Canis lupus familiaris: one gene and its partner. The protein of the gene in region 1 purifies or fractionates together with the protein of each later gene. This does not show direct contact. Links are inferred from orthologs where the notes say so. Each region holds a gene or a part of one and is shown in the gene's direction. Other genes may lie near its edges. The genes, in order: TXNL1 and UBE3A.

Region 1 (3,820 bases):
TTTCATTAACCCAAACTGGAAGCATGGAAAGGTTTTTCTGACTTCCTGTGTGTGTCTTATGTTAGATTTTCCCCCTCCAAAAAAGAACAATGAAATTTATTAAAACACACTTGACAGAGCAGTAGTACAACAAACACATATGCCATTCACCTGTGTTTCATCAGTTGTGAATATTTTGCTATTTTTGCTTTCTTAATATTTACTTATAGACTTCTACCTTCTGCAGAATCATTTAAAAGAAACTGTGGACAAAATATGTTGGTTCATCTCTAAATATTTTATTAGCCTGTAGCTTCTAAGAACAAGAACATTCATTTACATGACCATGATAGCATTGTCACTCCTAAGGAATTTAACAGTGGTACAGAATACTTATAGCCTATGTTTACATTTTCTTAATTATCTCTGGAATATTCTTTTTTTTATTTTAAGATTTTATTTATTTGAGAGGGAGAGAGAGAGAGAGCGAGAACACAAGTGGAGAGAGGGGCAGAGGGAGAGGGAGAAGCAGACTCACCGCTGAGCAGGGAGCCCCTATAAGTGATCCAGGACCCCTGGATCATGACCTGAGCTGAAGGCAAGAGCTTAACTGACTGAGGCACCGAGGTGCTCCTCCAGAATATTTTTTATACCTCTTTTTCCTCCATCTAGGATCAAGTCAAGGATCATTCATTGCACTTAAGTTGTTCTCTTTAGTGTTCTGGAAACTTCTGTCTCCTTTTTTTTTTCTTTTGTTCATGACTGCCTTTTTTTGAAAGTTTAAACCAATACCACTCTAATAGAGTAGCCACTAGGTACATGTCTCTATTATGCATTTGTTACATGCCTAGTGCAACTGAGACCCCAAATTTTAACTTTTATCTATTTTTAATTAATTTAATTTTAAATTGCCACATGTGGCTAATGGCTATCTTATTGTACAGCGCAGGTTGAGACCATCTGTCTTCTAGAATGTCCCACAATCTGGATTTGTCTGATTGTTTTCTCATTATTTTCTCATTGGCAAGCTGATTCCATAGGTAGTGTATTTATTTATTTCCAATGGCATATTTCTAGAATATGTCAATTTGCAGTTAGGTCAGATATAATGCCAGTTTGTCCCAGAGAGTGTTGTATAACAAAGCACTTTAATGCATGTGTTGGTGATACTTGTTTTGTGTGTCCCACGATAAGTAAATGTTAAAACAACTTTAAGTCACCTAGTTTATTTTTCATCATTAAGATACTATGACTGCAATGTTGTCTTCATGCTTGGGGTCTTAATCCTAGATATAATATTGAAGAGGTATCTTGGTAGAATGGAAAATGTGTTTAAAAGATTTGTCTAAACTACCCTTTCAAGGCAAATGTTCTTAAAGTTTAGAGTAATTCTAGAATGGCACTTTGCTTTACAGTGCTACTTTATCCCTCCACTGCTCCTCCACCCCGCTGCTTTTAAATTGGCTACAGTGTGTTACCCTGAGCAATAGGGTTAACATCTACAGCGTAACATTTAATAAATTCAAAATAACATTTTGGCTTTAAAAGCATTTAGGTCACTCCATGAATAATTAAGGATCTATACTAATGGATTCTTACCATATTGATAATAATGACCTGACATAATTATTTGACATTAAAAAGCTTTCCTTAGAATGGTATACACTCTTTCAGAATGATATACATATGCATTAGTATCTGTATAAAAAAATAGAGCACTCGTTGTGATAGGTGAATGTGTAAATGATAATCTGTAGTACTTGGTAAACTTCAAAATTCGTCCTTGTTTAGTAGATGAAATGGATACTTTTCTAGAAAAAAGGGTTTATCAAAATCAGTTCCATTATAAGCAGAACTCCTAAATAGACCAATCACCATAGAGGAAATAGAGAAAGTAGTTAGAGACCTCTACCATCAGGGTCAAGGGAACTTCATAGGGAAATTTTACCAAATCTTTAAAGATCAGATAGTCTAGTGTTATTCCAACTTTCGAAGACTATATATAAAGAGGGAAAACTTTTAAATTTTTTTAAATAAATATGACATTGATCCCAGAATTTGACGTTTGCACCAAAAAAAGCTACCGATGAGTTACAATTAGGAACAGTTGTTTTGAAGTTCTGAAAATATTAGTAAACAAAATTCAGTGATCTAGAGAAAGATTCTGATCTCCTAATATGCAGAAAAAGCATTTGACAGAATTCATTACCCATTTATTCCAAAAGCAATCAATAAAATCTTCATGAGAGAGCACCAGAGGCACACTCATTAAAGCCAGGAGAAGGGATGACCACTGTCAGAACTCCGGTGTGGTGTAGGACTACCCACCAACACATACGCGGGAGATAGGAAAATGTTAAATGATGCCATGGGGAAGCAGTCAGCACAATCCAGAATATTAGAAATCTATAGATGCTAAATGACCATAGATGAAAGGAGATTTGAGAGACATTAACCAAATACAGTGTACGTTTTTTGAACTCTTATTTCCAACTGTAAAACATTTATGAGACAACTGAAGAAATGTGAACATGGAAATCTGTTAATGACTAAAGTATTAACTCGGTTTAGTTATAATAATATTGAGGATTTGTTTTAGAGTCCTTATCTCTTAGAAATGTTCATGAATACACTGAAATGTTCATGAATGAAATGAAGACATGTCTAAGATTTATTTGAAAATGGGAGGAGGGGATAGGGCCTGCTTGCGGTGTAAAGATGAAATATGAGTGGCCATGAGTTGATTATTGTAACTGGGAGGTGAGTACGAGAGGTTCACTGTGTTATTTATTTATATATGTTTGAAATTTTCCATAATAACAAGTGTTCTAATCCTTATTTGTTATTTATCTTAAATGTAAACTGTTTATGGATATAGGTTTAAGGAGTACATGACCACTAGAAGAGGGAGGTCGGCTTTCTTTGGATCTTATGGATATTTTAATTTGCATATTTTGCACAGCAAATCACTGTTAATAAAAAAGTACAAGCCAACATTTTATAATCTTCATGTTAAAAACTTAGTTTTTGATACTTTATCAAGTGGGCTAAACCTAGATTTGGCTTTAATAGTGATAGAAATGAATAATCCCTTCATTTCAGAATTTGAAATGAAGGGATTATTGTAAAAATTTTAGTAACTATTTTAAAAGAGAAATTTTCTTTAAAATTGCCTACTCTAGAGAGAATCGTGTATTTACATTTTGGTTAGATTGTTAGACCAAATCCAAGTGCTTTGCCTAAAGTCTTGGTTTACTTTTTTCAGATGGATTTAATGCCTTTTATTAACAAAGCTGGCTGTGAATGCCTTAATGAAAGTGATGAGCATGGATTTGACAACTGTTTACGAAAAGATATGACCTTCTTGGAATCTGATTGTGATGAACAGGTAATTGAATACTTAAATTAAAGCTTGTAGGGATCATCAATATTTATGCCTGCTCTGGGTTCTTTATTATGTTTCCATCTCATTGTTTTGTGTTTCTCCTCAGATGACCACTTCTTTTCCTTTTTGTAAGTTTCCGTTTCTTTGATGGTGTAGACCCACCTCCTTTCTCTGTTCTATGCAAACTGCCAGGTGCATTACACAGAATCTCAGAATTTTGGAATGGCCCCACTAATGAATTGAGCGTTCACCACCTTAAGTCCTTATATTCATTCTTGACCTGTCTTCCATATTTTGTTTTTTACCCCACCCAAATGAATTTGTACCTGAGAAATAGAGACTAATTAGAGGAGCACTCCCTGTGTATCTGGTCCTCGCTCCTAGATGTAAATCTCTGTGTACTTCCCAGTACTTCCCTGTGTTGTCACAGAGGAAGTAGCGTAGTACTACCTTGAT
Region 2 (4,288 bases), on another chromosome or scaffold:
TCGGGCAATTTCTACTTAATAATAGTTAGAAGTATCTTCACATGCCAGGTACTGCAGTAACATTTTGCTTTGATTATTCAACAAAAATCTTTAAAGATTTTCATCTTATTTGCCTATCTTATAGGCAAAGAAACTCCTTAAAAGATTACGATTTTAACTATCCCATTAAATACAACTGCAAATTGTTTTCAAATGAGGATCTGTTAATGGGAGAAAATGAAAAAAAGAGTAAGGAACCGAGTTAAAAATCGGACATGATTTAATACTGTCATTTATCATTAATTGTTCTGGGATAATTTAAATTCCACTAGCTTATTTTTTACGTTTTTTTTTTTTTTTTTTTTTTTTTTTACAGGTTATAATTGGGAAGCCGTATCCATATATCTGACTTATAATGTTCTAAGAATGGCAGTTAAATACAGTGCTATGTAAGACTGTTGATTTAAAAAAAATTGAGTATCAGATGAATGGGATCTATATAGTATTTCGGGGCTTAGCGAAGTCGTAAGCCATTAGGAATACTGTTTGTTAGTGATCCCACTACAGCTTTGCTAAGTGTCGCAGAGCCATAAAATAAGCCCTTTTAAATAAAAAGGTGACCTTGATAGTATGAAGACGCATGGCTTTAAGTGGCTTCAATTGTCACGGGGATGGAATCAGCATCCCCCCGGCTGGTGTGGACCACGAGGCCACCATCTCCTAACAACCTGCCAAGGGATGGGCTTTCACCTTCGACTACAGTGATGACATTGTGTCGGCGGGAGGCCCAAGCAGATGACCTTGTCCCCTGAAGGTGGCTCACGCTCTCGGGGTACCACAGCAGGACCTACAGCTGCCGCCTGACGGGAAGGGGCTGAGATCGAAGGCCCGGTGTCCGGAGGCGTCGGCCCCGCTATGCGGGGCTGGAAGCCATCACAGCCCCCGCCCCCCGGCGGACCCATCCCGGTTAACATCGGGAGCGTTTATGTCCTAGCACGTCCCTGGACTTGGGTATACCAGGGGGCCGTCCAGCCCTCCCAGGGGCTCCAGGGGGCTCCCGGCGTTACCCCCTTCTTTCCGCGGGGATAGAGCCACCACAGACAGAGGTGGCTCCATGGAAACACGAACTCCTCTGCCTCGTCCCAAGATGGCGACCAGCCCTGGTAGGACTCCAGGGAGCCCCGAGCCACTTCCCCTTCCCAGCAGGCCCTGCGCGGGCGACGACGGCAAGAAGGCAGGGGGCGGAGCCGGCGTGAGAGGGCGGGGCACAGCGCTGCGCCCGCCCGCGCGCACCCCAGCCCCGCCTCACGTCGCTGCGTCCCGGCCCGGAGCTCTCGCCCGGCCGGGCGGCGCGCGCTGCCTGCTGGGATACTCGGCCCGCCCAGCCAGTCCTCCCGGCTTGCGCTGCGGCCGCGAGATCCGCGTTTTTTTCCAAGATGGTGGCGCTGGGTTCGGGGTGACTGGCAGTAGACGACAGAGCCTGAATCCCCTTCGCCGGAACCTCGACACACCGCCTTCCTCCCGCTCACGCACCCCGCTGCCACTTAGCCATCCGCCGGCCTGCGCGCTCGCCTTCCGCCGCCGCCTCGGACTTGGGCTTCATCTTGCGGACCCAACGCTTCGGGCAGCGGGCGGCGGCGCCTCCCTCGGCGCGTCTCGGGGTCGCGCTCGGAGCAGTCCGCAGCCCAGCCCCGGCTCGGCGGGCCCCGCAGCTCCCCAGCGCGGACAGGCGGCGGCTGGCGGCGAGCTCGGGTTCTCTTGCGGCCCCGGCGCCCCCTTTCCCGGCCTCCGTCTCCGGAGAAGGAAGCGCGGGTCCCGCATGAGCCCCGGCGGTGGCGGCAGCGACAGGGAACGAGGCGGTGGCGGGCGGAGGCGGCGAGCGAAGGCTACTGCGACCAGTGAGGCAGCCGCGGCTGCGAGGGCCACGGCCCGGGCGCGGGGGCGACCGCAGGTCAGTGTGGCCGGGGGCCGTTCCCGACGTCGTCCGTGTCGCCGAGCCGCCTTCCGGGGCCTGGGAGGGAGGGTGGGAGGCCCCCGGACCGCGCGGCGGTGGGGGGGGGGGGGCGGCTGCTGCCAGGACTAGGCCTCTGGTGGCGGTGGCGGCGGCGGCGGCGGCTGCCTCCGTAACTGTCAGTCCTGGCCGAGGGCCGGAGGGAGGGTGGTGTGGCCGGAGGGGACGCGAGCGGGCCCGGGGCGGGGCGTGCAGGGCGTCGAGAGTTGGCCTCGGTGGAAGGGCTCGCGGAGCAGGCCGGAGCCGGGCTGGTAGGGCCGGCCCTCTCCTCCCGAGGGGAGAGTTTTTCTTGAGGGCTCGGCCCCGTGGGTGAAAAATGCTGAGCCTGGCGCTGCGGTGGGTTGGGATTTGGGGGTGGACGGTGGCGGGGGTGGGGTTGGGGGGGAGGGCGGATGAAGTGGGAAATCGAGCCCCGGGTCGCGTCCACAGATTATCCGCGTTTTCATGTTAAACGTGAGTTACCGGGTTTGCCAGAAATTCCCTTAAATGCAAACCTGCAAACAGTTGGCATTTTTTACTTTCCCTTTTCAGTTGAGAAAATGAAAAGGACTCTTTCTTCGTCATGGCGTGGAGGTTTTGTTGGTAAAGTGAGAATTGAACGTGGCAAATGCTTTAATCAATAAAATTGTTAGAAATGATTTTAATGTAGACTTAGACTCCTTCAAAGATAATTTAGTCTCTGAATTTTTAAAAACGACCAGTGGGCATACTAAAATAGAAACATTACTAAATCTGTCTGGGATTCTATTTATTAAGTGGCTAGGGTGCTGTTGAAATGTAAAAGAATAGTAATATGGGATTTACAGTCCATAGTTACCCTCCGTAAATATGAGGGGAATATGGATATGACCCATAATTTTGGAGAATTCCACTGCCTGCAATATTGAAAGAAGCAGGAAATTATTCCAGAATATTCTGGGGGGAAGAAAAGGGCCTGAAATGGAAAGGACCTAGAGTTTGGAAGTATAACTGTTAAAAAGTTACCTGTCAGAGTCACTGTGGATACCCAATAAATATCTTGAGTGAATTAGACAAGAAGGATAAGAAGTGTTTATTCATAATCTCTGACTAATAAGTACTCAGATTATTGTGTAAGCCATGTAAAAATTTAGAATTTAGAAAGATAAAAGTATAATTTTGTCATGATATATATAGAAATAATTTTAGAGGTAGATGGTGCTTATAAATCGGGTTATCACATTTGTAATAAAATGAATACAATATTCACGATGATGCTGATAAGACCAAAGAATGAACCTGAAGCCTTTTAAAGAAACTAATAATCATGACAACAAAAGCAAGAAATAAATTCAAGAAATAATGACCTTCTCCTTACAAGAATGGGACTGGAAACTAAGGAAGTCTTGTATCAATATATATTATCTAGTATGCTAAGTATTATGTACACTGTTGTCTGGACATTGCCTAGTTCTTGAGGACTTTACAGAGTAAATTACAATATTACAATGTTTTGGTTCCTTTTCAGGGGTTTTGTAAGCTGTTTTTGTTTTACTTCTCTGAAATTGTACATTTTTTTCATGGCTTAAAAAAATACCTTCTTAAGTATGCTTATTAGAAGTGTGAGGAAGACACATTCTCATCCCACTTGCCCAGCTCATGTAATAAGGTTTATTGGGTATTTAAAATTGGATTTTAACATTTAATCAGTTGTATTTCTTAAACTTTAGATCATTTTTAAAGTGGTACTCCTCTCTCCCCTCCAAAAAAGAAAAAAAAAAAATCACCCCACACATCTGAAATGATTTGCCATTTCAAATAAGCAGTCAGTGGAATAATCCAAAACTATGCATCATATCTAAATTTTTCAACCCAAACACTTGAAATATTTACAGATGTTTATTTTCTTAAATGATTATTGGTTATGTACTTGTCATGTTGCACATTTTTGTTTATATCTAAACTAGTATTGGTCAAAACAGGGACATTACATTAAGTACATAGGTATCTGTTAAGAAATTAGTTTTTTGATTTTTTTTATGAGTGAAGACAAGTTTTCTCTTTTTAGGATAATTCGGGATAACAGAGTTTTGGCTGATTTTGACATTCCCTGCTCTGCCCCCACTGCAAATGAAAAGATAAATTCAGACATTATAATGTATACAGGGAAGATAGCTTTGGAATTAGATTCCATTTTTACTTCTGGGCTCAACCTTACTTGTTTGATCTTAGAAAGTTACTTAGTCTTGGTGAGCTGCAGTTTTGTCATCTGTAAAATGGGGTGGTGAAACTAACTCAGTTTCAAGGATTAGAGTTCGTAAAATGTCTGACACTTCAGCC

What was found.
Region 2: the proteins of TXNL1 (region 1) and UBE3A purify together in Homo sapiens (affinity purification with mass spectrometry; 3 studies listed by BioGRID and IntAct, with this or other methods). This does not show direct contact. The link is inferred for Canis lupus familiaris from reciprocal best matches to the Homo sapiens genes TXNL1 and UBE3A.

The regions. Positions count from the first base shown.
Region 1 is NC_049222.1:19,294,156-19,297,975, forward strand, and holds part of TXNL1 (thioredoxin-like protein 1), read left to right. Parts: intron 1-3,244; coding exon 3,245-3,367; intron 3,368-3,820. UniProt on the Homo sapiens protein: Active thioredoxin with a redox potential of about -250 mV.
Region 2 is NC_049224.1:35,646,555-35,650,842, forward strand, and holds the start of UBE3A (ubiquitin-protein ligase E3A), read left to right. Parts: upstream 1-1,411; 5' UTR 1,412-1,930; intron 1,931-4,288. UniProt on the Homo sapiens protein: E3 ubiquitin-protein ligase which accepts ubiquitin from an E2 ubiquitin-conjugating enzyme in the form of a thioester and transfers it to its substrates.